Daphnia pulex: one gene and its partners. The protein of the gene in region 1 purifies or fractionates together with the protein of each later gene. This does not show direct contact. Links are inferred from orthologs where the notes say so. Each region holds a gene or a part of one and is shown in the gene's direction. Other genes may lie near its edges. The genes, in order: casein kinase II subunit beta, YY1-associated factor 2-like, FACT complex subunit Ssrp1-like, titin homolog, protein kinase C-binding protein 1-like, eukaryotic translation initiation factor 3 subunit J-like and E3 ubiquitin-protein ligase Arkadia-like.

What was found.
Region 2: the proteins of casein kinase II subunit beta (region 1) and YY1-associated factor 2-like purify together in Homo sapiens (affinity purification with mass spectrometry; 5 studies listed by BioGRID and IntAct, counting the BioPlex papers as one, with this or other methods). This does not show direct contact. The link is inferred for Daphnia pulex from reciprocal best matches to the Homo sapiens genes CSNK2B and YAF2.
Region 3: the proteins of casein kinase II subunit beta (region 1) and FACT complex subunit Ssrp1-like fractionate together in Homo sapiens (co-fractionation; 5 studies listed by BioGRID and IntAct, with this or other methods). This does not show direct contact. The link is inferred for Daphnia pulex from reciprocal best matches to the Homo sapiens genes CSNK2B and SSRP1.
Region 4: the proteins of casein kinase II subunit beta (region 1) and titin homolog purify together in Homo sapiens (affinity purification with mass spectrometry; 3 studies listed by BioGRID and IntAct, with this or other methods). This does not show direct contact. The link is inferred for Daphnia pulex from reciprocal best matches to the Homo sapiens genes CSNK2B and PHRF1.
Region 5: the proteins of casein kinase II subunit beta (region 1) and protein kinase C-binding protein 1-like purify together in Homo sapiens (affinity purification with mass spectrometry; 3 studies listed by BioGRID and IntAct, with this or other methods). This does not show direct contact. The link is inferred for Daphnia pulex from reciprocal best matches to the Homo sapiens genes CSNK2B and ZMYND8.
Region 6: the proteins of casein kinase II subunit beta (region 1) and eukaryotic translation initiation factor 3 subunit J-like purify together in Homo sapiens (co-immunoprecipitation; 3 studies listed by BioGRID and IntAct, with this or other methods). This does not show direct contact. The link is inferred for Daphnia pulex from reciprocal best matches to the Homo sapiens genes CSNK2B and EIF3J.
Region 7: the proteins of casein kinase II subunit beta (region 1) and E3 ubiquitin-protein ligase Arkadia-like purify together in Homo sapiens (co-immunoprecipitation; 3 studies listed by BioGRID and IntAct, with this or other methods). This does not show direct contact. The link is inferred for Daphnia pulex from reciprocal best matches to the Homo sapiens genes CSNK2B and RNF111.

Annotation. Positions count from the first base shown.
Region 1 is NC_060025.1:6,073,023-6,077,077, reverse strand, and holds casein kinase II subunit beta, read left to right. Parts: upstream 1-1,393; 5' UTR 1,394-1,533; intron 1,534-1,564; exon of another isoform or gene 1,565-1,634; intron 1,635-1,902; 5' UTR 1,903-1,906; coding exon 1,907-1,978; intron 1,979-2,207; coding exon 2,208-2,310; intron 2,311-2,383; coding exon 2,384-2,575; intron 2,576-2,695; coding exon 2,696-2,994; 3' UTR 2,995-3,555; downstream 3,556-4,055. Other genes in the region: FK506-binding protein 15-like, read right to left, coding at 1-46, 115-266, 339-437, 524-674, 736-897, 978-1,033. UniProt on the Homo sapiens protein: Regulatory subunit of casein kinase II/CK2.
Region 2 is NC_060019.1:11,515,374-11,518,718, reverse strand, and holds YY1-associated factor 2-like, read left to right. Parts: upstream 1-1,233; 5' UTR 1,234-1,361; coding exon 1,362-1,393; intron 1,394-1,566; coding exon 1,567-1,622; intron 1,623-1,695; coding exon 1,696-1,765; intron 1,766-1,835; coding exon 1,836-1,988; intron 1,989-2,067; coding exon 2,068-2,284; 3' UTR 2,285-2,845; downstream 2,846-3,345. Other genes in the region: ubiquitin-conjugating enzyme E2 N, read right to left, coding at 3,210-3,345. UniProt on the Homo sapiens protein: Binds to MYC and inhibits MYC-mediated transactivation. Also binds to MYCN and enhances MYCN-dependent transcriptional activation. Increases calpain 2-mediated proteolysis of YY1 in vitro.
Region 3 is NC_060026.1:11,629,052-11,633,217, reverse strand, and holds the start of FACT complex subunit Ssrp1-like, read left to right. Parts: upstream 1-1,366; 5' UTR 1,367-1,534; coding exon 1,535-1,585; intron 1,586-1,657; coding exon 1,658-1,843; intron 1,844-1,910; coding exon 1,911-2,126; intron 2,127-2,193; coding exon 2,194-2,369; intron 2,370-2,426; coding exon 2,427-2,562; intron 2,563-2,638; coding exon 2,639-2,742; intron 2,743-2,804; coding exon 2,805-2,933; intron 2,934-3,006; coding exon 3,007-3,114; intron 3,115-3,177; coding exon 3,178-3,361; intron 3,362-3,421; coding exon 3,422-3,527; intron 3,528-3,579; coding exon 3,580-3,881; intron 3,882-3,951; coding exon 3,952-4,166. Other genes in the region: coiled-coil domain-containing protein 25-like, read right to left, coding at 49-130, 198-400, 458-637, 708-799, 862-934. UniProt on the Homo sapiens protein: Component of the FACT complex, a general chromatin factor that acts to reorganize nucleosomes. The FACT complex is involved in multiple processes that require DNA as a template such as mRNA elongation, DNA replication and DNA repair.
Region 4 is NC_060023.1:11,578,726-11,583,013, forward strand, and holds the end of titin homolog, read left to right. Parts: coding exon 1-3,211; intron 3,212-3,273; coding exon 3,274-3,402; intron 3,403-3,470; coding exon 3,471-3,572; 3' UTR 3,573-3,788; downstream 3,789-4,288.
Region 5 is NC_060028.1:7,383,018-7,386,975, forward strand, and holds the start of protein kinase C-binding protein 1-like, read left to right. Parts: upstream 1-1,158; 5' UTR 1,159-1,310; intron 1,311-1,378; 5' UTR 1,379-1,501; intron 1,502-1,572; 5' UTR 1,573-1,613; coding exon 1,614-2,140; intron 2,141-2,232; coding exon 2,233-2,379; intron 2,380-2,438; coding exon 2,439-2,627; intron 2,628-2,695; coding exon 2,696-2,825; intron 2,826-2,883; coding exon 2,884-3,297; intron 3,298-3,360; coding exon 3,361-3,489; intron 3,490-3,604; coding exon 3,605-3,723; intron 3,724-3,789; coding exon 3,790-3,958. Other genes in the region: myotubularin-related protein 9-like, read right to left, coding at 1-29, 92-372, 452-620, 686-832. UniProt on the Homo sapiens protein: Chromatin reader that recognizes dual histone modifications such as histone H3.1 dimethylated at 'Lys-36' and histone H4 acetylated at 'Lys-16' (H3.1K36me2-H4K16ac) and histone H3 methylated at 'Lys-4' and histone H4 acetylated at 'Lys-14' (H3K4me1-H3K14ac).
Region 6 is NC_060019.1:7,843,391-7,846,624, reverse strand, and holds eukaryotic translation initiation factor 3 subunit J-like, read left to right. Parts: upstream 1-1,272; 5' UTR 1,273-1,337; coding exon 1,338-1,359; intron 1,360-1,492; coding exon 1,493-1,587; intron 1,588-1,831; coding exon 1,832-1,891; intron 1,892-1,954; coding exon 1,955-2,147; intron 2,148-2,235; coding exon 2,236-2,406; intron 2,407-2,469; coding exon 2,470-2,660; 3' UTR 2,661-2,734; downstream 2,735-3,234. Other genes in the region: secretory carrier-associated membrane protein 2-like, read right to left, coding at 1-10, 100-228, 295-376, 437-538, 598-705, 875-931. UniProt on the Homo sapiens protein: Component of the eukaryotic translation initiation factor 3 (eIF-3) complex, which is required for several steps in the initiation of protein synthesis.
Region 7 is NC_060024.1:8,994,934-8,999,138, reverse strand, and holds the start of E3 ubiquitin-protein ligase Arkadia-like, read left to right. Parts: upstream 1-1,405; 5' UTR 1,406-1,566; intron 1,567-1,629; 5' UTR 1,630-1,718; coding exon 1,719-4,205. Other genes in the region: SAFB-like transcription modulator, read left to right, coding at 1-388; UDP-N-acetylglucosamine transferase subunit ALG13 homolog, read right to left, coding at 469-888, 954-1,061. UniProt on the Homo sapiens protein: E3 ubiquitin-protein ligase. Required for mesoderm patterning during embryonic development. Acts as an enhancer of the transcriptional responses of the SMAD2/SMAD3 effectors, which are activated downstream of BMP.

The DNA of each region.
Region 1 (4,055 bases):
GATTGCTCCACTGAGGGGTAAAATGGGCTGACCAAGTTTAGCAATTCTGTAGTTTAGAAACAATCAAATATGTTTGCATAATACTTGGAATTATTTAACATTTACTTGCATTACCGAGATATAAGTTTGGTTTTGTTACTATCTTGACTGAGTGTTTCATTTGCAATAGGGTTTGTTAATGGGCCATCTATTCTATCAATGGAAGACGCTTCTGCAGATGATGGCTTATTCATGTGTCCAGCCAAAACATTTTTCATTTTATCAATCTACAAGTAATGTCAAATACATTTAAATTATAGTGAATCACATATTGCTTACACTTAACAATTATTTAATACCTCTCCAAGAAATTTCTGAGCAACTTCTTTGGAATCAAACAGAATTGCCCAGTTTTGCATGTGGTCATCATAAAATGTACAGAAGTTGTTTGGTTGACTCTGCAACAAAACAGTGGAGAAACATTATTTAAGTTTAAATAGTAGTGTAAATAATCCCCCCCATCCACAAAAAAAATTGTACTTACAATTATGGTAAATTCTGAGGTGACCCTTACACTTGCTAGTGGTTTCTGCTTATTTTGGTAAAGGATTATCTGATAAGTTTTATTACTTTCATTTTCTTCCAATAAGGCTAATCCTATTTTTCCAGGAAGTGGTTCATATTTTTCATTATTTCTGGAAATGATAAACAGGAGAATAAAATAAATTAATTCTTTGATTTGGCTTTCCTCCTTACAGTTTATAACATGTGACAGCAGCTGCAGCAATAACTGCTTGGGACATGCCCTTTGTGGTTGGAAGTGTACTACTTGGAGGTTGTTTAGGTGCCGTATAGATTAATGACTTTGAATTGGATTGGTGGATCCCCGAATCGTGAAATATTGATGCTAAATTAGAACTAAAATAGCGATTTAGTGTTATAATTTTTTATATCATGAACATCTATTCCTAATAGAAATGACTTAAGAATGATATTACTTAATTGAAATTGAGCCAAAGTCATCATCTTCTTCATTTGAAAAACCGAATGACATTTTCACAACATTGAGTAGAGTTGATAACGCTTCACGGCGGATATATATATTCTATTATCGTTTACTGAATGAAAATCAATAGATGGCGTTGAAAAGATTACAGACAAGATTACGATGGAATTTCCGAATAAATAAACAAAAAAAGCCATCTAGCGGCTAATATTTACTGGAAATAAATAAGAAGAGACATTGAAAAGCAACGTACTACCTACTAGGCCTACTTCATTTCTTTATATTTTCTATATTATATTTTCTTCCTTCAAATTGTGTGATTCTAAGGAATGGGTTCTCTTTAATCATGTTTTTTATAAGAAAACTTCGCGCTTTCACCACATAATCATGAATTCATAAGGAATTACTTGTACTGCACACACACTTCTTCTTGTTACTAATAGATGTCACCTTACAGAAAAAAGCCTGTGTAGAAATAAGGCCCTAGGAGAAAACGAGATCGACTTCGCACACATATTTGTTAGGGTGGCGAACAGAGGCTTGAAGAGGTAAGATTTATTGAATTTCAACTGTTATGTTTACGATTAATTGTATTCAATTTTGACTTGGAAAATATTCAACGAAACAGGAGGGGTCATAGTGTACACGGGTATGGTAATTTCGTCGATTCAGCAATTTTTTTAGTGAGAGTCTACATAAGAATGAGAATGGTGACTTGGGGAGAGTTTACATTACGTGTTCTGAAGGGAGAGGTGTGCACAGTTTGCACACGCTGAAGGCTAGACAGGGAGAGAGGGCGCGCATTGCAATCAGTAAACTGATGAGTAGAAATCATTGATTTTTGGATTTGTGAACTACATCAACGGCTTTGTTAAACGAATTACATCACGTTTTGACACAAATTTTCTCACCCATAGAAAAATGAGCAGCTCCGAAGAAGTTTCGTGGATCTCCTGGTTTTGTGGCCTACGTGGAAATGAATTCTTCTGTGAGGTAAGATAAAATTAAAATTAAATTTGATGTGATAGGTCAAAACATATTAGAGCACTTAATATTTCAATCAGTTGATCAGAAAGTGGTAGAATTTGACTGATGAAAATCACAGAATTTTCTTTGGATTTTGCTATAACAAGTGCATTTGATTCATTAAGACTTGGAAAGGAATAATTGTAATTTCAAATTTAAACAATTAATCTAAGCATATTTTGTAATTGCTCAACAGGTTGATGAAGATTATATCCAAGACAAGTTTAATTTAACTGGACTGAATGAACAAGTACCACACTATCGGCAGGCACTTGATATGATTTTGGACCTAGAGCCAGGTATAAATAACCAATTGAATTCTTTCATTCATATTCTTAGTGTAAATCATTTATCCAGTATTTTTCATTTAAGATGATGATGTTGAAGACAACCCCAATCAGTCTGATTTGATAGAACAAGCTGCTGAAATGCTTTATGGGTTGATTCATGCTAGATACATTTTAACAAATCGTGGAATTCTACAAATGCTTGAAAAGTATCATGCTGGAGATTTTGGTCATTGCCCAAGAGTATACTGTGAGAATCAACTGATGTTGCCAATTGGTAATATAAAAAAATATGATTTTATTTGTTATTACTATATATTTTACTATTTATTATATTTTTAACTTTCACTAGAAATTTATCTTTTATCTTGAAATATTTTTGGGTTCTCCTTCTCAGGCCTATCAGATGTTCCAGGGGAAGCTATGGTGAAGCTTTATTGTCCAAAATGTATGGACGTCTATACCCCTAAATCCTCCCGTCATCACCACACTGATGGAGCGTACTTTGGGACAGGATTCCCCCACATGCTCTTCATGGTTCACCCTGAATATAGACCGAAAAAACCAACCAATCAATTTGTCCCACGACTTTATGGCTTTAAAATTCATCCGTTGGCCTATCAGATCCAACAACAGGGCGCTTCTAATTTTAAAGTTCCGATGCGTACTGTAAGCTACAACAACGGGAGAAAATGAAACTGAATCTGCTTATTCGCCACTTATTCATTCAATGTTACCATTTAGCATAGGCGACGTTCAGAAATTATGTACTGCGATTTTTGGCTTATTTTTTTTACCCCCTCCTCCCCCTCTTGTCAGATTGTCACAAAAGCCCCAACTCTAACAAAAACGTAACGTTTGCCGACCCCCATCCCCTATTTTCTGGAACTTAATAAAAAACTGAATGAAAATTGAATTAAAGTTGGTGCCTACATTTGGTTCCATTAGTTAAGCGCTTAATTGATTGGTGTTTCTCGTATCAGCCTATTCCTTCATTTGTGCTGTTCGTTTTTATGGTGAAAAGGTCGCAACACAAGCTGAAGAGATATTATGTCATGGTGCGTCAAGAGTGTCTCAACCCGGAATCCCATTCGTTTCTCGAAACCCATCTATTTCTTTATGTTCCGTACTACGAATCTACTGCATAACTTTTGAACGTCGCCATAGCAACTCAATACCCTTTTGATTGGTTACATGATTAACCCGAGCTGTACAACAAATTTGATGGAAACAAAAGATAATGAATTTTTTTCTTGATATGTTATGTACTTTATTTGTCAGATATTTAGTTATCTTAACACTTATGCTTCAAATCTACGTCAGGAAAAAGACGTAGGATGTTATTATAACCGTACAATGTTATAGAAAAAAAAGGCCCAAAAACCTAATAAGCTTGTTAGCTCCAGTGTATAGGAAATTCACTACGCGGTGTTAAGTTACTTGGAATTCTATTAAGTTTATTTTACTTTTTTGTTTGATGAGATTTGTCAGATGAATAGACCTTTTTCACAATGCGGAAAGTCGGGATTTTACAATCCGGCAACGCCGCAATCGGCCATCTTTGTTCTAATTAATTTTTCCCCGTGTAAATTCCCATAAGGAATCGGGGTCCCTTTACTTTTAATTCATTTTCTACTTATTGGTGTCTTAAATCAAATATATTTCTCGTGGATCTTGTTCCCCGAATAACTGGTAACATTTTCATGTATGGTAAGTATTACTTGTGGCTTATATTAATTATGTAATTTGAACTTTCA
Region 2 (3,345 bases), on another chromosome or scaffold:
TTGGCCTCCACCGCCATGTCCGCTGCCTCCATGATGGTAGAAAAGATAGACGTTGCGCCAATTTTTGGTGTTCAATCCGTCGCTGCAGCTGAGACAGAGCCATCCTTCCAATGAGCTCTTCCTTGGAAATGGCCCAATTGTATATCACTTCCGGCGCAAGTGGACCACATGGCAAAGACGTAGAGACAATAGAGAAGTCCAGCTCCCCAATCCGCTTAGATAGCGGATAATTTCCAGCAGGGCCAGCACCAACATGAGGATCCACGTCAGCAAGACGGCGTGTCGCGTGTCCGCCTTCTTCTTCTCGTCGGATTGAACGGCAGAGTATCGCAGCAGTACAGGACGCATAGGCCTATCCAGCGAAACGTACCAGAACACTTCTTTCCGGGCAATTGGCAGTTAGTGGAATGACGAGAACTTCGCGAGAACGTCATACCGAGGCGTGACTGGAACTTTTCTCAGGTGAAAGCCACCCATTCGGCCGTTCCGTCTTCACGCGTCTTCATCGTTGCTGGGTAGGCTGTGTGTCATTTACTGCAGGAACATGAAACTTTTCACGTTGGATCGTGTAATCTATTTTTGTGTAGGGTAATACTCGGCCTGCGGTCGAGAGAGACTTTAGCGGCGGCCGTTGTGGCGGCAGCGGTGGCCAGCACCGCCCGGCAAGGGCTGACAGTATCGCTGACGGCCTTGCTGGCTGGAATCAGCGACATAGCCATCAATGGCTAGTCGGTTGTCTCGGGGTGGCTATAGCATCCGGAGAGAGCTGGGGATAGAGTAGGGTGGTGTCATATCGCACTCCCGAAATTGTATGGATATTCAAGTTCATTTTCATTTTTCAAGTTCATTTTCATTTTTCAAATTCGTTTTCATTTTTCGAAATCATATTAGTTTTTCAAATTCATTTTAGTTTTTCGAAATCATTTACATTTTTCAAAATCATTTTCATTTATCAAAATCATTTTCAATTTATGAATTCATTTTCAAAACGTTTTCAATTTTTGAATTTATTTTCAACTTGATTTCAATATTCAAAACGATTATCAATTTGTTTTTAAATCAAATATGGTAATCGATTTTTGAAAAGTTTTTTTGGAAAAAGTGTTCAATCCGCACCCCATAATATTTATTATATAGTGTAAAGCATTTGATAAAAAGAAATTCTTTCCAAATCACAATGTTTTGTTTTGAAAATAATGTCAAAGTTTCCGTATCGATCACACGATAATCGATATCTTGTTTGTAGCCGAAAAGCACAGAATAACGCGTATTAATAACGTATTTTGTAATGCCATTCCTACATTTTAATTCGAAGTTTGCGAGTAGTTGAATTATTTTGATTGATTCACATCGTTTTGATCATGGATTCAAAGAAAGGCAGTCCAAATGCAAGGTAAATTTATCCATTTATTTTCTTTCGATTTTGAGGGAAGGACTTGGGACAATCGTACACCTATTGTGTAGCCTTGACCGACCATATTCTTGTTTTTATTTATTTTTGTAACTATGAATTATGCTAGTTATAAGTATTTCAATCATATTAATGGGGGTTTCTGTACCTTCAAGAAGGGCGAAGCGGAGTAGCAAGCAAATTGAAGAAAATTACTGGGACTGCAGTGTCTGTAAGTTGACAAAGCGCAATATGAAAACAAAAGATGTTGACAAATGGTGACGAACATTGTATTATTTACATAGGTACCTACAGAAATAATGCAGAGGCATTTAAATGTTCAATGTGTGATGTAAGAAAAGGAACCTCAACCAGGTAATTTTTCCTTAGCAATATTACCATTTCTAAACATTTAACAGATGTGACAAAACTTGCACGTTTTCAGGAAACCAAGGCTCAATCCTCAGTTGGTACCTCAAGTGTTCAATCCTTCCTTAGCTAACAAAAATAGAAAAGAGAAGGAATCTAAAGAAAGAGATAAATCTGAGAGGAAATCATCAGATGGAAACCCCACCAGGAACAGTAAAGCCAGACCAAGGTATGTTTTAATAAAATTGTTAAAACAAAATTTGATATCTATCCTTCAGTGTGACTTGCTAATTGTTTGTTTAAAATAGGTTGAAAAATGTTGACAGAAGCACTGCTATGCACAAAGAAGTGACAGTGAACAATGTGACAGTAGTCATTACTGAGTTTCGGCCAAAAATTAGCAGCAAGTCAACATCTCCCAGTAACCTTGATCTGGATGCTGGACACACGACCAGTAGTTCTAGCAGTAGTGCCAGCAATCACGGCAACGATCTTTCCCCTGCAGATCAAGAACATTCAGACTGACTAAAGTCGTTGCTCGTGATTCATTTTTTTATTATTATTTAGCATCTCGAGGTATTTTATTTGAACTGTATTTGTTTGCGCACCCAATTGACCCCATACCGATCTTTTCTCAACTGCCAAGAAGTATATAATTTTTAAATATCTATAAAGGCTATAATTTGGTCCCAACCGAATTTCAGTGAGATAGAACTGGAGCGACAGACGTCCAAACCGAAAACTATACATGAAAAACCAAGAGGCAGTTGTCTATAACTATTCTGGATTCAAAGTTTTTCCCTTTTTTTTTTTTGTAACCACGAAATTCCATAATGTTGGAGATTATTTTTGAGTGTTGGGAATTCCTGTTTCTGATCGGATCTCAGTACCAATATTCGCTTCCCTTTTTCGGTTTGAACCTACCTCATCTGAACGGTGCGAAGAGGTCGGGGAAGATTTGGTAAAAAATTGATTATGTCTGTCGAGTGGATGGTTTTCGTTTCGTGATAAATGTGCGCTCTCATCCGTCTTTATAATTTCACCCTCCTCATCCACGACAAGTAAATACACAGCTGTACAATTTGATACTCTAGACTTCCACGGGTGACGGCATTTTTATTATTCTTTAGTATCCTTTTGAGGTACTCGTGGTACTAAACGGTAAAAAGTGTAGGCTATCGACGATCATTTTAACGACGCGTGAATTGGAATGAACCGTCGATAGAACTTTTGACGAGCAAACAAAAGAAGATTGGGATATAAGAACGAGCAAAATGTAGTTTTTTGGCTGATCACCATCGGGGACAGTTCAACCAATTGAAGGGAGGGGAATCAGTCGACAAAGGCTGATGGACGAGGAACAAAAGAAAGCAAAATAATCTAAATTCAAACACAATTTCTCGGTAACGGATTGACAATTTTACTCTTTTTCCTTCCACAGATCCAGGTTTCATATGTTTCCCATAGCATAAGTTCTGGTCCATTCTCGAGCATTACGAATAGCTTCTACCTCGTTGACTTTCCACAACTCAGCAACATCATTGGCCAATGGATCATCGGGATTGGGCGCACTCAATAGAGCTTGA
Region 3 (4,166 bases), on another chromosome or scaffold:
GTGATCGAGTTCGCATACACTCGGCTGGTTGTTAACGTAAGCGATTTCTTACATGAAGTCATCGGAATCGTTTCCATCATCATCTTTATTGGTCTTCATGTTCGTTTGCTTCAGCAAGCGATCGTAGCTCCTAAACATGTAAAAATTAACATTTCTGTGTAAAAAAATAAATATAGTGTTTAGTAAATCAAGGTCACCTTAGTTCAGCTTCATCCTTTTTTCGCTTTTCTTCTTCTCTCTCCCTTTCTTTTTGTTCTTTAAGGAGCCTTTTCTTGTCGTCTCTTTCTGCACAGTCTCTCTGTTCTCTTTCAAACCTTAAATCAGGTTTTTTCTCAACTTTGGTTTTGTTGAGACGGTTTACAATTTCATTAATTCTTTTCTCCACCCTAATCTTGCGAACCTATAAAACTTGATTGTTAGATAATGGATAGGAACACATTAAGAAGGAAATCTGTACATCTTTTTCTTTGTGAAATCCAACTTGTCCAACTTCCATACCAGGAGTCTTTTTCAAATTAGACCACAGGGTGTAAACAACATCAATGTTGTTCATTTTATTCCCTTGGATGCTGTTCGCTTTACATAATTGTGCTGCATCTTCTAAAATGGCTGCTGGAATATCATCAATTACTTGACCCTACAAATAAGAATAGTAACAGAGCTGTATTAAAAATTGTTTTATTTGATTTAATAAAAAAAACCCTTACCTTGTTTAGTCGTATGTAAACATGGGCTGACGATAGCTTGTCAACGTGGAACCAAACATCTTCAGGCCATCCCCACTTGATCAACTCCTCATCTAGTTGTTACTACAAGGATTAATAATCCCATTTTATATCTTACTGATTGATTACTTCTTACTTTCATGTTTTTCTTCTCCCATGAAAAGTGCGCAACTGGGTTGAACGGCGGTGCTGACGAAATAGAAAACCATTTTAAATCTTAAAAATATAGTCAACTAATTTGAGAGGGCCAGCGAGAAAACATTCAGATCCAAATTCCAATTTTTTAACACGTGGATATACTATTTTCTACAATAGTAAATGCAACTTGACAATCCGCCTTGCGGCTGACAGTACTTCGGATAACACTAGAAGAATACGGTCGATCCCTCTTGACCACTTTTTGATCTTTTGATCATGTAAAGCTCTAGAAAATCTATGGTAGTGAGTGCCATCTGGAGTCTCAACATTGTAGAATCCACATTCCACAATCCTGAAATCCTATCCAATCCAATCAACGAAAAATCCTCTTCCCCAGTTTAAATTTCTACTTAAAAATAATTTTTCTATTAAACTATGATTTATTTCAAATGTTCAAATACGGTATCAAATATCTTTAAAATCTAGCGTTGCCCAAACGAGTTTCACTGGCAACGCTTTATGGCCATTCCTTATACTTCTCCGCTCGGCGCGAAGTAAAATAACCGACTGCTGGTGTTTTACATTGTTACGATTATTCTCTTGCTTTCCAGCTCGTCTAGTTGGATTTTTATTCATTTCGCCAATCGGGATTACAATTTTTTCGTTGTGTGATGGATTTTTTAGAGTTCTCTGATGTTTCAGCTGAAATTAAAGGCTCAATGGTAAGAGGCTCGCTAAATTGTCATATCGGCTGCACGTGAATCTTCTTCTATTGACAAAATTTTTTCTTCTAGACTCCAGGCCGTCTAAAACTAACGGATCAGAGTATCGTGTTCAAGAATTCCAAAACGGGTAAAGTTGAACAGATAAGTTCTTCTGACATTGAATTGGTTAACTGGCAGCGACTAGCTGGTGCTTGGGGACTACGTGTATTTCTCAGAACCGGAGCACTTCATCGCTATGGTGGATTTAAAGATTCAGTAAGTAATTTTTTAACATTTGAAAGCTTTTTTATTTTCAATTTCCTATTAATTTGGTTTTGTCTAGGATCAAGACAAGCTGGCAAAGTTTTTTACTCAAACCTACAAAAAAGACATGCTGGAGAAAGAGCTGAGTGTCAAAGGATGGAATTGGGGCCGTGCTGAGTTCAGTGGTTCAACTATGTCTTTTGAAGTTGGAAACCATACTGCCTTTGAGATTCCTCTAAGCAATGTGTCCCAATGCACAACAGGGAAAAATGAAGTCACCTTAGAATTCCATCAGGTGGGTACTATTATGACAAACAATGCTGCAGACATCTTACCTACTGCTTTATTTTCTCTAAAACTAGAATGATGATGCATCAGTCAGTCTGATGGAGATGCGTCTCTTCATTCAGTCCAATGATCAAGGTGGAGATGATGCTGTTGAAGCATTCCAGAAGCAGGTGATGCCTAAAGCAAGTGTCATCAGTGCTACTGGTGATGCAATTGCCATCTTCAGAGAAGTTCAGTGCCTCACACCAAGGTATTTTCTATCATTTGTACTTAAAACATTTGCTCATTTAGTTTTTATCCTTGACAGAGGTCGCTATGACATCAAAGTTTTCCAATCATTCTTTCAACTTCATGGTAAGACATTTGACTACAAGATTCCAGCCTCTACTGTACTTCGCCTGTTTTTACTTCCGCACAAAGATGGTCGGCAAATTTTCTTTGTAGTAAGTTACACATCTCTGAAAAAGAAATTAAGAAAAGAATCATCATTAATCTACATATTTTTATTGTGTAATTCAGGTAAGCCTTGATCCACCTATTAAGCAAGGTCAGACGCGTTACCACTTTTTGGTCCTTCTCTTTAACAAAGATGAGGAGACATCTTTTGAAATACCATTATCAGAGTGAGTAATTTTGAATAATTCAACATTTTCAACACGTCATCAAAAAACGTTTGTCCTAACAGGGAGGAATTGAAAGAAAAGTTTGAAGGCCGACTTTCTCGTGATTGTAATGGTCCAACTTATGAAGTTATGAGTACCGTCATGAAGGCCATGGTTAACCGAAAGGTCACTATACCTGGAAATTTTACTGGGTAAAATTTTATATTTTCATTTCAAGTGTTCTAGACTGATTTCACAGTTTCCTTCTTTTTTAATTATTTATAGCCATTCTGGAACCCCCGCTGTTGGATGTTCCTACAAAGCAGCAGCCGGATACTTGTATCCGCTAGAACGTGGTTTTATTTACGTTCATAAACCTCCTATTCACATTCGGTAGAATTCGTTTCCCTGAAATTTTTGTTTGCATATTTTTTAATTTATTCTTCCTTCGCACAGATTCGAAGAAATTGCAAGTGTTAACTTTGCTCGTGGCGGAGGAAGTACCCGTTCTTTTGACTTCGAAGTTGAGACCAAAAATGGGGTTGTTCACACCTTCAGTAGCATTGAAAAGGAGGAATATAACCGCTTGTACGATTTCGTAAACAACAAGAAGCTCCGCGTCAAAAATACTGGCCGATCCGTAAGATCTAGCAACCCATTGATAGTGTTTGTACTAATCAGTTTTTGTTGTACGTAATAGGACAAGTCCGCTCATGGGGATGATTTTGGCGATTCGGACGAAGAGGAAGCGCCCGACGCATATTTGGCTCGTGTCAAGGCTGAAGGCAAACAGCGTGACGCAGTTGGTACGTTTTCCTTGCTTAACGAAACAAAAGCCTTTCCACTAACATGTGCCAGTTGCAGGTGACGATTCGGGTGGAGATTCTGATGAAAATGACGAAGACTTCAAACCTGGTGAGGAAAGTGACGTAGCAGAAGAATACGACTCCAATGTGGCTACGACCGACTCGGAAGCATCCGACGCATCAGGTGGAGCCAAGGCTAGTAGTGCTGCGAAGGCTAGTAGTGCTGCCAAGGCTGGCAGTGGTTCTGGCAGTGATTCCGATTCCTCGTCCAAAAAGAAGAAAAAGAAGGACAAAAAAGAGGAGAAGGAGAAAAAGGAAAAGGAACCCAAGAAATCCAGTAGCTCGAAATCGGCGGTAATATCATCTTTCAATTTGCCAATAATTTCAGAATTAAAGTTTTTATCGTTTATTAATTTTGTTGTAGGCCCCTAAAACTCCCAGATCGCACAAATCCAAGAAGGATAAGGATGCAAACAGGCCCAAACGACCACAGTCGTCGTACATGCTGTGGTTGAACGACTCACGCGAACAGATTAAAAAAGATAACCCTGGCATAAGTGTCACAGATCTGATGAAAAAAGGTGGCGAAATGTGGCAGAAGGTTGAAGATCGATCTATATGGGAAGCCAAAGCTAAAGT
Region 4 (4,288 bases), on another chromosome or scaffold:
TCCAGTGAAAACGGTTGAACCTGTGGTCAAAATTGAAGAACCGTTGGAAACCACCGAATCTGCTGTATTGGTTTCTCCGGTGGTTGTGGTTGCCCCAACAGAAGCTGGGCTCAAAAGTGCTGGACGGAGGCAGAAAATGGAAGACATTTTTGGAAGTGACGATGACGATTCCAGGAGAGAGATCAACCACCTTGAACAGATATCGGATTGTGAAGAGGGCGAATTAGACGAGAGTGAAGCCGATCAAGACGATTCAGATGAAGAACCTCCACCTTCCACAAACCGGATTGTGCGGATGCTGACTCCTCCCCCTGCCTCGCTGAAGCGACCGCTTGAAAAAAAGGGTCTCAAAGATTGTGAAGAGGGTGAGATTGTGGACAAGAAAGCTGCCAGCAAAAAGCGTGCCAACGCCAAAAAGAAGAAATCCACCGGTGACGAAGTTATCGTCAAAACGGAAGACTGCGAATTCTTACGGTCTGCTGGTATTGGAGGCGAGAGGAAGGTAGAGCTGTCTTTGGAGGACGAAGGTATTCCTTCCACATTCAAAAAGCTGGACAGTGGCAAAACTCGTCATTATCGTCATCAAGGTGACATCAAGGTGGTGGAAGGACGTGGCGACGTTAAACCGAAAAAAGAACAAGACACGTCAGACGACAAGAGATCGAAACGGCAAGAGATTAAGCATTACGACGTCCGGCGTGTGGTGGAGAAAAGATCTCGCAGCGATCGGCATCATTCGTCCTCCAAGTCGGAGCATCGGTCACGTTCGGATTCGAAATCTAAAAGCCGAGAACATTCGTCCAAGAAGACTAGCAAACCTCGACGTAAACGAACTTCCTCCTCATCGTCGTCGAGTTCTTCTTCTTCCTCATCATCTTCGACTTCCCTTTCATCCCTATCACCTGAACGCAAGAAAGGAAAAGAGAATCAACACAAACGGTCGAGATCTTCGTCATCCGATGGGGAGCGAAAGAAGCGCAAGACCAAGTCGTCGCTCAGGTCCAAAGAGAGAAGCGACGACAAATCATCAACGAAAGAAAAGAAGAAAAAGGGGAAGAAGAAGAAAAAGATCAAAGACAAACACAAGGATAAGAAATCTCACACAGCTTCGGAAGGGAAAAGAAGTGGCGAATTGGGGGCGCTGGGGGCTGATCCTAATGCAACTTGCGGTGATGATATTGAAATACCCAGTAAAGCTGTTTTCGCATCGGGTGACAAGATTGTCGTCAGCCTTCATTTTGGCTCGAGTAGTTCCAGTAAACCCCTGGTTAAAAAGAAGAAACGAAAGGCCGAATCCAAAGATCCTGTGAGTAGCAGTAAGAAGATGAAAGAAGAAGTTCGATCATCTCCAGAACGGACGGATCGATCCAAAAAGTCACAACCGCCTCCTCCTTCTACTCCCGTGACAAAAGCTGAGCCGACTGAGAAGGTTCACAAAAAGCCTCATTCTAGCAGCAAACCGGAACCGTCGACACCCAGTAAACAAGCAGTGGTGAAACCGCATTTAGAATCCAAATCTCCAGACAAACATTCAACCACACCAGACGGAAGTAAAGGAGTCAGTTGCGCCAAAGAACCTACCCAGAAGCCGATGCCGCCAACTCCTAGCCGACGTGGGGAAGAAGGGAGAGACGTCATGCGAGGAAGAGGTCGAGGACGTCCAGCAGGAGGTCGACCCATTCGACCTCGATCTAAGCCTGTCTTGATTGACATAGAAACGAGTCGAGAAATTCCGTTGGACGATGCTCGACCTAGCGATGTCATTGTCTTGTCGGATTCTGTTGATTCAGATGAAGAACCGCATCTTCCACCCCTGCCACCTCTACCTCCGCCCGCACTGCCATCTCAACAACTTCCCCAGCTTCCTCAAGCTCAACATTCAACACCTCAGCCACCTCCTCCCGTACCCCTCACGAAAGGCTCTTCGGCGTTGACTTCCATCAAACCAAAGAGCGGCGGAGGGAAAAATCTTTTGTTTTCAAAGCATGGAGCAGCGGCCGTCAAATTTTCTTTGGCTTCTAAATCAAATTCCATCAAGAAGCTTAACAATCCGTTGCTTCTGTTGGGTGCCGCCGAAGAGGAGGAGGAAGAAGAAGAACAGCAGCAGCAACAGTCGACGACATTGGAAACTAGCCCCAGTAAATTGCAGAAAACAACACAAGACAACATCACGGATTCGACCGGGAAGATGAAAGAAGATGACAATTTTCTGATGAATCTTCCATTACCAGATGGTCCAGGTCGAGTGGTACATTCTCCTGCCAAGGCAGCGGGCAACGTCTCTCCTATATTCAGACCAGCCACACCACCGGTCAAAGCAGTTTGTGCATCACCATTGCCTACCTCCACCTACGATCCGTCTCAACCGACTCACACTCCTTCCAGTGGAGGTTCAACCCCGTCACGTTCACCCAGTCCTGTGATGGCGTCAGCAAAATTGCTGTCAACTCTGCCTCCTTTGCCACCTCCTCCAACACCGCCCATGATGCCCTCCTTCCCTCTTCCTCATCCTGGGGCCGTGCTGATGCCTCCGATGACATCACTCCCTCCACCACCTCTTCCACCTCCTCCGCTGCTGACCAGTGCCCCACCTCCTTATGCAGTGCATGCTTCAAACTTGATTTCGGGAGTGTACAACACTTCGTTCCCTCCGCCCAATATCGCTGGATTGCTTCCTTTGCCTCCTGCAGTGGCCCCGCTACTCAATCAGGTGATGAAGGTGACTTCAACAGCGCCGCCCCAGCTGTCATTTTCAACGTCGATCGCTATCCATGGAAAACCCGGTCGACCAATGACACCACCATCACCGACGCCCAGTGAGGGAAGTGACATATTTGGTCCGCCGTCTGCGTCTCCATCATCCCCCATGTCTGATCATGAACCTCAGCAAAGTCAAGTTACACCTAGCAGTAAACCACGCCAATCGGCCCCATCTCAAATACCGACGTCTTCGGCCAATGCATCCAGTAGCTCAAGTTTCGACTCCATTTTAAAATCAGCCAGCCATCAACGTGTACGCACCAGCAATCAACGATCGGCGTCGAAACCAACCCCCAAGATTTCGCACTCGAAATCAGCAGCTAAACCAACGCCCGTCAAATCGGCGCTACCTGCTGGAACGGATCCGTCGGTATCCATTACGACGACTATAGGCCCAGATGGCAATGAAGAATGTCCCAGTTCGGCGGTCGAACTCCAAGTCAAAGAAAAGGTAAATTTACTAATTTATTATTGCTTACCAATTGAATGTTTTAACAAATTCTTGCTTTGCAGTTTCTCAAGAAATTAAACCGTCAAGAGAGAGTGGTGGAAGAGGTTCGTTTGGCACTCAAACCATACTACACCAGCAAACGTATTTCCAAGGGCGACTACAAGGAAATTCTTAGGAAATGTGTTCCCAAGGTAACATCTCCGTTCTTCTGCGCTCAACTTAATATCGAACTAATGTGGTCAATCTTTCTGTTTGCCAGATTTGTCATACGAAGAGTGGCGAAATAAATCCCATCAAAATCAAAGAAATGGTCAAAGGTTACGTCAAAAAGTTCCGCTACCAACATAAAAAGGAAGTTTAAAATCATTTGCAGGAAGCCCTGATTTGACTATTGACGTAAACAAATGAGTTTTCGAAATAATTTAAAAATCGACAAATCTTTCTCGCCCATTAATTATTTTTGCGAAATGAATGGTTACCATTTCATGTTTTGGCCCACCATGTAATTTTTTTTTTCCAGGTTTGCAAGATATTACACATATGTTCACATTTTAAATTAAATATGACATAAAAACGATTGATTTCATATTATTACATTATTCTACTTAATGGAAGTCATTTAAACTGTTGCCAAATCGACTCTTCGACTTCGAAAATAGTTCAATTAAATGTCTTCATTCATTTTCATGCGTTTGTAATTTTATTATTTGGAAAGACGGAAGTGAATCTAACGCAGATATTGATTTTAAAAATCCCATGTCGTTATCACAAAACAAAAGAACATCTAGATGTAGACTTTAAAAAAAATTCTCGAAAATATTTCGATATCAATTCTAACGATTAATAATTAAACGTAAAAAAATATCTAGATTTTTCTCGAAAAATAAAATAGTCTACTTAATTCAATTTTGTTGATGAAAACCGCGTTTTTTACGTTACGAAACATTAGTTCTAGAACAGTCTGGCTAGTTCTTGAGTGTACACTAGCGCCAGCATAAACGTTGTTGCCGTCTACGGATTCTGTGAAAACGACTGTTTCGAGCGTTTTCCAGTCGGTGTCTGTCTCTCTCTGTGTTC
Region 5 (3,958 bases), on another chromosome or scaffold:
TGAGGCTGACTACTTCTCATCATCACAGCCTGAATAAAAAGAAAAAGAAATAAAAATATTGCAGCATATTTATGATTAAATGGCAACTTACTCCTCCTTCATGCCTGTATGAGAGAACTGGAAATCTCCCTCCAACTCGAAACGATGCAGCAGCTATTAAGACGTCATCATCGACCGACTTGGGAACTACAACAGCAGATGGATAAGACGAGCAGATTGAATAATCCTTATTGACATAAGAAATCCTCCAGTCTTCCTGTTGTTGCATGACTAGTTTGGAAAATTCAGTTTCTGGCCTAAATGCTGTCCAACCATCTTCTATTGCAGTGTAAACTGGCTGATAGAAGAAAGGATAATAAAGAGACTGATTCTCTGTGGTAAAAAAATTATGATCTATTAGCAGGTGGTTTTAGAAGATGTAGGCTTATAAGCACCGATCTGTAATAAATACCTATGGATGATAAGCACTCCAATGAAGCTGAAACATTCATCAGTTCTTCTGTATTATTGAAATCAAAACTGATAACAGAAAAATCTTTGCACTTGAGTGTAAGAGTGCCTCCTGCAGCTGGAGGTGTGTTGGGTTTTCTTTCCACTAAATCTATGATTCTATGAATCAGCTGTAAAAATGAAAAAAAAAACAATGTGAAGGTAATTTACAAAAAACTTAATAAAATTGGTATACCCAAAATTCATCAGGATTTTCTCCTCCAGCAGAGAAAATGAGGTGGTGCCCAGTTATACATAGCACCCCTTCAACAGATTTGTGAAGTGGGCGGTGGACCAAAACCTTTTCTACCCTTGGTGACTTGATGAGATGTGCAAACTCCATTTTCACAGCTCAGCCTTCAGAAAGAGACAATCCATAAATCGGTTTAATGAAACCTAATAATTTTCCACAAACCTTGTATTGTAAGGATTTCTTCACCTGTCACAATCTCCAGCTGGACGATTTCAGAAACGAGTTGCGCGCGCAATTGATCGATAAAGACTAAATGAGGTTAAAAATACAGCATTCGCTTAAAATTTACAGTATTTTGGAAATTATTTTCATCCTGACAGTGAATTATCGTTTCACTTCATACCAAGTGAGCGTAAAAACGTAAACATTGGTGTCGTGAAAAGCAGAAAAAAAAAATATTTTTCATATCCCCAATTGACAACGTTGTTTGCTATATACACCGCCGGTGTGTCTTGTGTGTGTGACTGTGTGTGTGTGTGTGTGTGTAAAATAATTCTGGCGAAACCCTGAGCTGAAATATATCGCATGCTTCTGAAGTGGTTCAAGATTCGTGACACCTTTTTATAGAGTGGGTTTGTTTTCACGACACCATTATTGATGATGCTTTTTAATTTGTAACATTCTTCTTGTTTGTAGCATCATCACTGGACCGAAATATAGATAGCCTGTGGGCGGAGCTTGTTTGATTGAAAAATCCTCTCCGGATTCCGCCTGCTCTAGCGGTGTTTCTACGAAGCACAGGAAGGTCAGTCCTCAGTGGTATGCTTGCTAAATTCTACGTTCATTTTCCGTTTCGCAATAACATATTTATTTGGAATCACTAATTGCAGATATCAAGGGGACAAGGGAAAAACTGTGCTGCCTGCCCGGAATGGATAACGCTGCGACTGCTGATGTCATCAATGAACCTTCCAGTGATAGAGTCATGGAGGATGTTGGTTTAATGTCCAGAAAACTGAACAGTGAAAACAGTGAGCCTGCAGATAATGTGGCCACTGCATGTGAAAACTTCGACACTCTTTCACCTAGGGATGGCACTCCCCAACTAAATGGTGATGAACAGAGCCAGATTGATGATGATGAAGTACAAAGTCTTTTTATAGCTGAAGATTCTGAGGAGGATGAAGATGAAGACGTAGATGAAGATGTGGATGAAGAGGATGAAGAAATGCCAGAACTTTTAGACTCAGATGGTGCTGGGATTCAAACAGCTACAAAGGATGATGGTACTACTGGAGAAACATCAGATGAGGAAGCACCTCCAGGACTCATTCTTAGCCATGGTTCAATAATGAAGCAGGAAGGCAAGAATGTGGACAGTCTCTCAGGTGTAGTTGAAAATGAACAGTTAGAAGATGATTTACAGAGTCTTACTGACAAAGGAGACCAAAACCAAAAGTAAATACAAAAATTAAGTCTATACATTATTCCTTCTCAAGGGTTCCACATGGCAACAATTTCAAAAAATTCTTTTTAAATTTTGCATCTAGCATTAAACTGCAAGGAACTCCATCAGCAGCTCTAAGAAGATCCAGCAGGACTAAATTACCCATCAGCCCATCTCCAAACGACGTGTCACTTTCCGCAGGACGTACCACGCGATCACAGATCAATCCTGACATAATCGCAAAGCAAAAGTAAGGAAATCTGAACTTGTTTTTTAAAGCCATATATTGGAGATCCATTTCTCTTACAGGTCTTTCATGCATAAATACCAAATTGCTGTCAAAAGCTCTATGGACTCGTATGTTCGAAGTGCAACTAGCGAAGTTGAACAGGTTAAAGTGGAAACACAAGCCACAAAGCGCAAATGGGAGGATACAGGAGGGACAGATGCCGTGCATTCTCCTCATAGTTCTCCAATTCAAGAGAAAAGAAACAAAAAGTAACTAAAAAATGAAGCTGGCGTTACGAAGCATTTGTAACTAACTGTAGCACTTTTGCAAACTTTAGATCAATAACAAGCACTCCATCAACAGCAAGTACCCCATCGACCAAAGTTGGTAGCCATTTCATGGAATTGCAAAGCAAGACATTTACGCGCCATGACACTTTTTGCTGGGTGTGTCATATGGATGGCCAGGTAATGAGAAAAAAGTCCCAACGTTTCTGTGATGGATTAAAATGAAGTTTCTGATTAGGTATTGGAATGCAGACAGTGCCCGCGTGTGTTTCATCAACGATGCGTTCAACTTCAGTCCCCAATTCCGACTGATTGGACATGTACGGAATGTTGCTCTGTTCGCAATGCCGAAAAACATAACCATCTCGAGATGGACCAGTTAACTGAAATGCTCAACTTCGCTATGGAGCGAATCAAGTCGGTGGCTGACGCGCAACCTTTCTTTAAACCTGTTGACACGGAAGAATTCCCGCACTACACCGAGTATATTGTTAGTCCGGTGGATATCAGCCAGCTGGAGGAGAAGATTGTTCAAAGATCTTACACTTCCACTAGAGCTTTCCTGGCTGATTTCCGCTGGATCTTGCACAATTGCATAATCTTTAATTCGTCTCACTCAAAATTGACTAGCACGGCAAGAACGTTGATGAAGGTATTTTAAGGTTTAATATGATTTATTTCAAAATCTTAACCAAATCAAATTTCCCAATTGCAGGTGTGTAAACATGAAATGGCTGAGATTGATACTTGTGCCGATTGCTATGTGCATGCTCACACCAAACGAGAAACCTGGTTCCTGGAACCGTGTCAAAGGCCTCATTTACTGCTCTGGGCCAAACTCAAAGTAAATTTCATCTCAAGTCATTCTCACAAATCTAGTTTTAAGTGTTTTAAGTGGCTTGATAGGCACGTCCAATGAGCAAAACAAAAATTATTTAATGATTTGTTGTTTTCCCCAGGGGTTTCCTCATTGGCCGGCTAAAGCGATGAAAGCAAATAAAGAAGGCAATGTGGACGTGCGCTTTTTCGGTGCACACGATCGAGCTTGGGTGCCCGCCAAAGATTGTTTTTTGTACAGGTAAAACAAGAACAAGGTTTATCTTTTTGCAAAAAAAAATTAATGTCAATGTTTGTTTGTTTGCAGCCGCGAAATGCCTATGCAGTTAAAAAATCAGCGCAAAGCAAATTTGATTGCTTCAGTTGAAGAAGTTGACCAACACATCAAAAAGCTTGTTGAGCGCTACGGTTCTTTCGCTTACCCCTCGCCACGTACGGCTTACAACCCAAATAAGGAGGACGAGCAATTACAACAA
Region 6 (3,234 bases), on another chromosome or scaffold:
AGGGTGTGCACTGAAAATAAAGAAACAAAACAAAATCAATAAAAGTTTCTGATAACAAAAATAAACTTAAACAAGAAATCTATGATATGTTTAACTTACGCATCCAAATATAGTATAACATGCGGACAATTTTTTGAAATTCAAGTGGGATTTCCACATTGATGTCTTGATAGAAGCATGGTTGGACACAAAACTTGTCAGGCAGTGGTGGCCAATTATTGCGCTGAGCTGTAATGAAGAAGTAAATAACAGAAATTAAAAAGTAAAGTTTCATTTAAATTTGTTCTCTCCTACAGTTGAATGGTACATTATTCTTTAATTCTTCTTCTCGCCTCTGCAATTCTTGAGCTTTCTTCTCTAGTTCTTCTTGACGTCTCTATAAAACCATGCAATATAATGAATAAAGATTTCCTTCTTTCTTTTTAAGTTTTAATACTTGAAAATCCGCATTTGACATAGCTGCTTGTTGTTGTGGTCCTGGAGATATCACTGGGGCAGCTTGAATTGTTGGGGGTGGATTGGCTCCACCAACACGGTCCTTAAATTTTGTAACAAATCAAACACACTTCCCACTTTCATGATAAAATTATGTTTTACCATTGAAACTCTGGTAGTTTGATTACTACCATCAAAAGGGTTGTATTCTTCAAGACCTTGCTGAGCTCTCGCAGCATTGTTTCCTGCAGCTTGCTGGACAGATGGATCCTATTGTGAAAGTAAACAACCACTTTACCACTAAACTAATAAACAAGGTGATTTTTCAAAAGGTTTTCTTTCATATTGTATGCGGCGAGTACTCCATGAATCACCAGTTTTCAACCAAGGTATTAGTATGGTAATAGTAAGTATAATATACATATTATAAATAATCTACCGCAAACGGGTTGAAAACAGCCGGTTCTGCAAAAGGATTCTGATCAAATCCAGACATTATCAAATATTTCTTTTTTTAACTTCGGTCACTTTGTTACTCCAATTTGCGGTAACTTTTGTTTCGACGGTCACCGTGAAACGTCAACTCAACTAATACAGACAGAAACTCCTATCAATTGCTAAATAACAGGTAATGTCAGAGAAAAGCAGTTCGGAAACAGGCAAACACTAGCGCCTCTGGAAGACAGAAACACTAGACTAAGCAACGCTGGGATTAACGAGATATCTCAGGTAAAAAAAATTAAATAATTCATAATAAAAGGTTTGCAATAAAGTTTCAAAATTTAATTATTGTTAGGTTTCTATATTTAATATTTTGTAATGCACATATTAACATTATTAGAAAAGTGAAAGCATTTGGCAACTGCCATGGACACTAGTGTGTTCACGATTTTTCGTTGAAGATGGAGGCCGAGGCGGATTGGGGTGATTTTATTTAATTATTTCTATATTAAGTTATTCAATTCCACCTGTTTTTTGTATGAAATTCTCAATAGTGCATATCAAAGTTCCATTTAATCGTATACTCTAATCAAATACGATTTTGTGGTGATTATAGATGCCGAAGATTTTGAACCCTCTGTCCCTGTTCCAGTTACGACTGCCATAATTTCAGATAAATGGGAAGGTGAGGATGAAGATGAACCTGTCAAGGTGAGTTGTAATTCAATTGTGATGATATTAGTAGTAAGTATATCTACAAATTTGGTAGAACCTTGTAGCGCTTGTAGTGAAAAAAAGTTCTCTCAGTACCTTTCTATTTCTGCTCCAATTCTTACAACTTTCACTTGACTACCATGTGTCTTCTTTTGCCAAAAAATTCTTATTGCTCAATGAGTTTTACATAAAGTTGTGATTGATTTCAAAATTATCATTTTTTCTTGTTTATAAATGATAGGATAGCTGGGAAGATGAAGAAACAGAAAATAAGCCTGCTGAAGTCAAAGCAGCAGCCACAGTAAGTACATGTGATCTCTCGTAAAAGTATCCAAAAAATTTAAAATGTGTTTGTTACTTTCAGGCTACCAAAAAAAAGTCAAGTAAAAGATTAGAAGAAAAAATAGCCGAAAAAGAAAAGAAAAGCAGAGAAGAAGCTGAAGCCAGAAAAATATTGCAGGAAGCAAACATGACACCTGAAGAGAGAATAGCAGAAAAGCTTCGGAGACAAAAACTAGTTGAAGAATCAGATTTTGAAATGGCCAAGGAAACCTTTGGTAAGTTGTCTTAGGAAACTGTATTGCTGACCTGCACTAAGCATGATTTGTTTTATATTTTGTTCTCAATGTTATTTTTATTTTCCAGGAATTACTGGTAGTTTGCCTACAGAGGGAAGCATAGATGAAGCAAACCCTTCATCTAAAGAGGAATTCTCAGAATTCAAGAACAACTTGGTGAAAAAACTTCAGTCATTGTCAACTAAAGCGTGCTATAATGATTTTATAGAGGACTTCATTAAAGATGTTTGCATTGGATGTAAGTCACATTTTCTAATGTTGGTTGCTAAAAACTTTTCTACATCCCAGTTTTTCAACATAGTGGAAGTCGAAGTCCTTAGAAAAGTTAGTCTAACTACCAAATCCTTGCACGAAGAAAAACTCAAGATGGTGAAGGCGGCGACAAAAGGTGGAAAGAAAGGAAAAACAAAAGTTGCTTTAAAAATGGACAAAGGAATGGTCGACAACTTCGGTGATGATTTCGGAGGAGGAGACTATGACGACTTCATGTAGGGTCCAATTGTTTTTCTTTTGTTTTTGGCGGGAAAAGGTTTATTGGTAAAATAAATGTATGATTTTGCCATTTTGCTCTTGTCAGTTTTTTCAGTGTTTTAAGATATATTGAGATTGAATTTCTGTTAAAAGTTAAAACCTCCCTCTTAATTATTCTAATTCAATATATAGAGTTAAGTTGCATATTTTCTTAGACGTTCCAGTTTTCTACTTTTAGCGTCAAAAAAGGAGATGGTGACAGTTGTAAAGTTAGATGTAGTTAGATGTATTTGTCCCATTGAATGCTACACACTGTCAAAAGTAAGCAAATAACTTTCAATATTTATTTTTTTAAATTTGAGTTTTGAGTACCCCGCAAATTTGTATACTGGTGAATCCTTATTTGATACCCAGTGGGCGTAAGAGAGGGGATTAGGGGGGTTTTGTTTTTAAAATGTAATGGAAATCGTTGCCGTGGCAGCCGGCTGCATGCCTAATCAATAAATGAAGCACGTGCGTTTCCTGCTGAGTAGCAGACTAGTAGTGGCATAAAAGTGGTTGTTTGGTCGATACTTCTAACTCGTTATATGGCGTT
Region 7 (4,205 bases), on another chromosome or scaffold:
GTCTGAGCCCTGGCAGCGAGGCCCTTCCAGTGCGAATGCCCCCGTATCAAGCGGAGGAGTTGGAAGTTCAAAAACTAATTACGGTTCCAATGGAAGCGGTAATACCATGCTGGGCAATGGAGTTGGATTGTCTTCTAACACCAGCTGGTCTGGCAACGGAAGTACGCAACAAGATCGCTGGAGCGCATCGTCATCCTCGTTAATGCCTGTCGGAAGGTCAATGGCGTCGTCTGGATCATTTAATAACAACTGGACTGGATCAGCTCCCCCTCTTAGTGGATCCGCGCAATATAATCCAGCGACAGGAAACATAGGGAGTCTTAACAACCCTGTTATCGGGCAGTCTGGATCCGTTGGCTATTCGGCAGATCGTTATTCGCGACACTAACTTTATCGCATCATATCCAACCGTTTTTTTTTTTCAACTTAGACGTTTACAATGTATGAAATCAATACACAAATTGAACTTTATTTTTGAAATCCCATCAATTTTTCAAGGTAGGCTGAGAATGCAACTGGATTATTTCTAGGAAATTTCTGGAGTTTAGTAGTTCTAAAATCAACAATGGTAGTTTTTAAGGTTTCTGGATAGCACATATAAACATGTCCTTCAGAATGTAACTTCTCAGCAAGTTCTAGCTGGTGATTGCCCATCAGCTTCTGGTTAACCACAACAATTAATGGCTTTGCTACACTGAGGGCCTCAAGACAACTGCCAGCACCAGCATGTGAAATGATTAGGGAGGCTTTTTCCATATCAGAAGAAATGTTTTCTTTAAAATGATAACAAGATATTTGTATTCTTCGTGAAATAGGAATTGGAGGTTCAACACCAAGTCCAATTTGCAGAACAAGATGTGTGTACCCATCATCTTCCAAAATCTGATGCTCAAATTTTATACATTATTATTTACTAGGAAAAATGTGTAATGCAACGTAAATATCGAACATACCTCTAACGTGTTTGGATGCAAAACTTGAGTTATTAATTCGTCAAACTGGGTAGTCCCTACAGTAACAAAAACGATTTTACTTCCCGATTCTTTATGTGTCACACTCATTTCGAACGACAGCAATACTAGTATTTCAGTTCACTTATGGACATTCCCCACAAAAAATTCTCAACTTGTTTACGAAATTGTGATATTTATTATTCAAAAAAACGAATAACTAATCTGTCAGAATGTCAGTCAGCCAGTCAGGCAAAAGGAAAAGAGACGATGACAGTTTTGTTCATATTTTTTTAAATATTATTGAATGAACTCTAAAATTACGTAAACTTTATTAATTTAGAAATTCTTAACTCATAAATGTAATTATTTTTAAGTTATTTAATGAATCATTTCATCATTCAAACTTACAACCAAAAATAAGTAAAAAAATCGATGTTGACCGAAATATTGGCACTTGGCAGCACCGTTGGCACTTGTTTACAGCAAAGACAATTGTCTCATCAGCTGTCCTTAACTGGAAAGAAAGGGTTTTGTACTTGATTGGCGTGACTCTTTGCCCTTTACCGAGTTTTCATACAGGATTACTGTTAAGTTTGTTTTTCAGTCTTTAATGGTAAGTCAAACTAATCTTAATTTTAATGACAAATGGTTTCATTATATAAACATATTTCATCAGGTGGTGTAGGGAGGAAAACGTCATCGTCTTTTCTTCCCTTGGGAGCATCTTGCCTCGAGCCGTCTCTATCGAGTGAGTTGTTATCAATAATGGGTGACGAACAAGCTGGCCCGTCTAGAAAAAATACAATGGACACTGAAAGATCCAATAGCTCGGGAACAAATAGTAGCAAGTCAGCAACAGAAAATGTTCCGAAACAAACATCACTTTCAGCAGAAGAAACAAACAATCACTTGGCATTTGGAAATGGAAGGACTAATCCGCCCAGAACACCTAGTAGGAATTGCCCTTCTATTGATGGTGAATGTCCATCAGGCCATTTTGATGAAGAGGATTTGGACATGCCAGAATTAGAAACTCCCAGCCCTGTCTTGATGCCGTCACAGCTGCTCTCACCCCCAGTTGCACTCCACTATGATGAAACTTTGCCATTGACTCTTCAAATGCCAACAAGTATTAATGTCAGTGTTAACTTGCAACCTTCAGTGTACAGTCTGTCTGGACCACCAGATCCTGTATTCCTTGACGACAGTATGGAGAGTGGGGAGAGAGAGATCACTATCACTCGAAATCCTTATTTCGATCCCTCTCTCTCACCTGGCCCAGTCGACGAGTTTCTTTCTCTTGCCTCCTTCAGTAGCCACGTCGATGGCTTTCACTTTGGACTGGAGGAGGCACCAGCACCTCCCCATTGGGCCAACAGTAACCGCGTAGAATCTTTTCCTCCAGCTGCTGCTTCTGCTGTAGCAGCATCATCTTCATCATCTGATGTCCGCCGAAAAAGACCGAATACAACTCAACAGGATTCAAATTGCAACGCATCGAAGTCCAAAAAACAAGCCGAGACTTCTGGTGGAGAACCTGTACCCGGTCCATCGGGTATCGGAGTTGCAAGAACGGTAACTGGCGATGATGGCCCAGTTGCTGATGATCTACAATTAGAATGTCTGACTGACGGTTCCTCCTCTGCTACCGAATCAGACATTGACGATGACGATAGTTGCATCGAAGTAGTAAGCGTCCGACCTGGTCTATTGCGTTCTCAGCATCAACCCGAAGTCGTAGATCTTACCATTTCAGAAGACGAAACGTCGACTCCCAATCCTTCTACATCGTCGGGCTATTCTCGTTCTACTGGGAGACAGCCCAAACCATCGTCGTCTGTAAAGTCAAGAGCTATACCTAAAGCAGAGCCTCCAATGGCACCAATACCGGTTGTGATTGAAGAGAACAATCAGCCAGACGCTGAAGTAAGACGAGCATCGCCGGCCTTTGTGTCCGTTACTCCATCGTCCTCTGCAGGAAACCGCCCAGGTGCTTGGTGCGGATGTCCAGGGCAGTTTTACGTGGACGGAGGACGGCCCACGCCCATGGGTGTAGCTTGGCCAAACAATGGTAATCCAATACGAGCACATTACATTCCTAATCAGTCTCTTCGACCATCTCCGCTAGCTCATCATGCCACTGCCTTTTCGTATACACCACCACCGCCAGCTTATCACCATCCTCCACCACCGCCAGTTCTGACTCTACGTTTGCCGTCAACCGTTCAAACCCACGGTGGAGCTCGTTCGCCCGTCTGGTGGAGTTATCCAAGTATGGCCGTTGAAACAGTAGCCACTCCGTCACCTCAACACGTAGCAGGAGATGGATCTTCTAATCAGGCTGCGGCCATTCCACTGCAACCCAGTCAGCTGGTTGAAGCCACTTCTGTCGCTCAACCTGCACCCGTTTTCGTTCCTCAAACAACTGGTATTTACCATGCGGCCCCCACTTCACGACCCGTGGACGGACGTTGTACGATGCCGCCTGCCATTGCTCGAAGCTTCATGCGTATCCATCCCATTCACCAGAGGATTTGGCATTCACAGCACCGCTCGCAAGAAGCTCTTCGACGTCATATGGACATGGCACAACGTGTCGCAGCTGGAGAAACCGTCGAAGTTAGCGGTCCGTCATCGATTCCGGATTCTCCGATGATGAGTCAAGGCATTCAAAATCAACAACAACCCACTGGTTTCTCTGGTCCGCCTCCTCCATATCATCCAGTTGCACTGGAGCGCAACAGCAGTCCTTCGCCACAATTCAGAACTGTTCACGCTCCCGATTTGAGTAGCCACATGATGCCGGCCGTTCAAGCTGAAATTGTCGTTGAAAGTTCTCCTGTCAATTTAGATCCTCGCCATCACCATTTGCCTCCTCCTCCTGCCTATGCTTTTGCTCCGTCTTACCACCACCACATTGCCCATTTCAGTCTGCCTGGCAATTTGCATATCAGTATAGGTCCAGGACCAGCCATCCCGCCCGCAGTACCACCACCACCACCTCGAACCGTACCAATGGAACGCGTTCCACCACCTGCCATGCCCGGTGTTCAAGGTGCCGCAGCAGTCGAAATCCAACCAGCCCATCAGCAGGAGCAACCTTACCACCGTGGCTACCCGTTGTACATTCACCACCAGCAGCACGGTCACCACCACCATCCTCCACCACCATTGATCCCACTGGGCAACAGTCCATTCTTGAGCGGATCACCACATCACTACCCATTTTTACGTCCTTCAACGCGTTTGGAA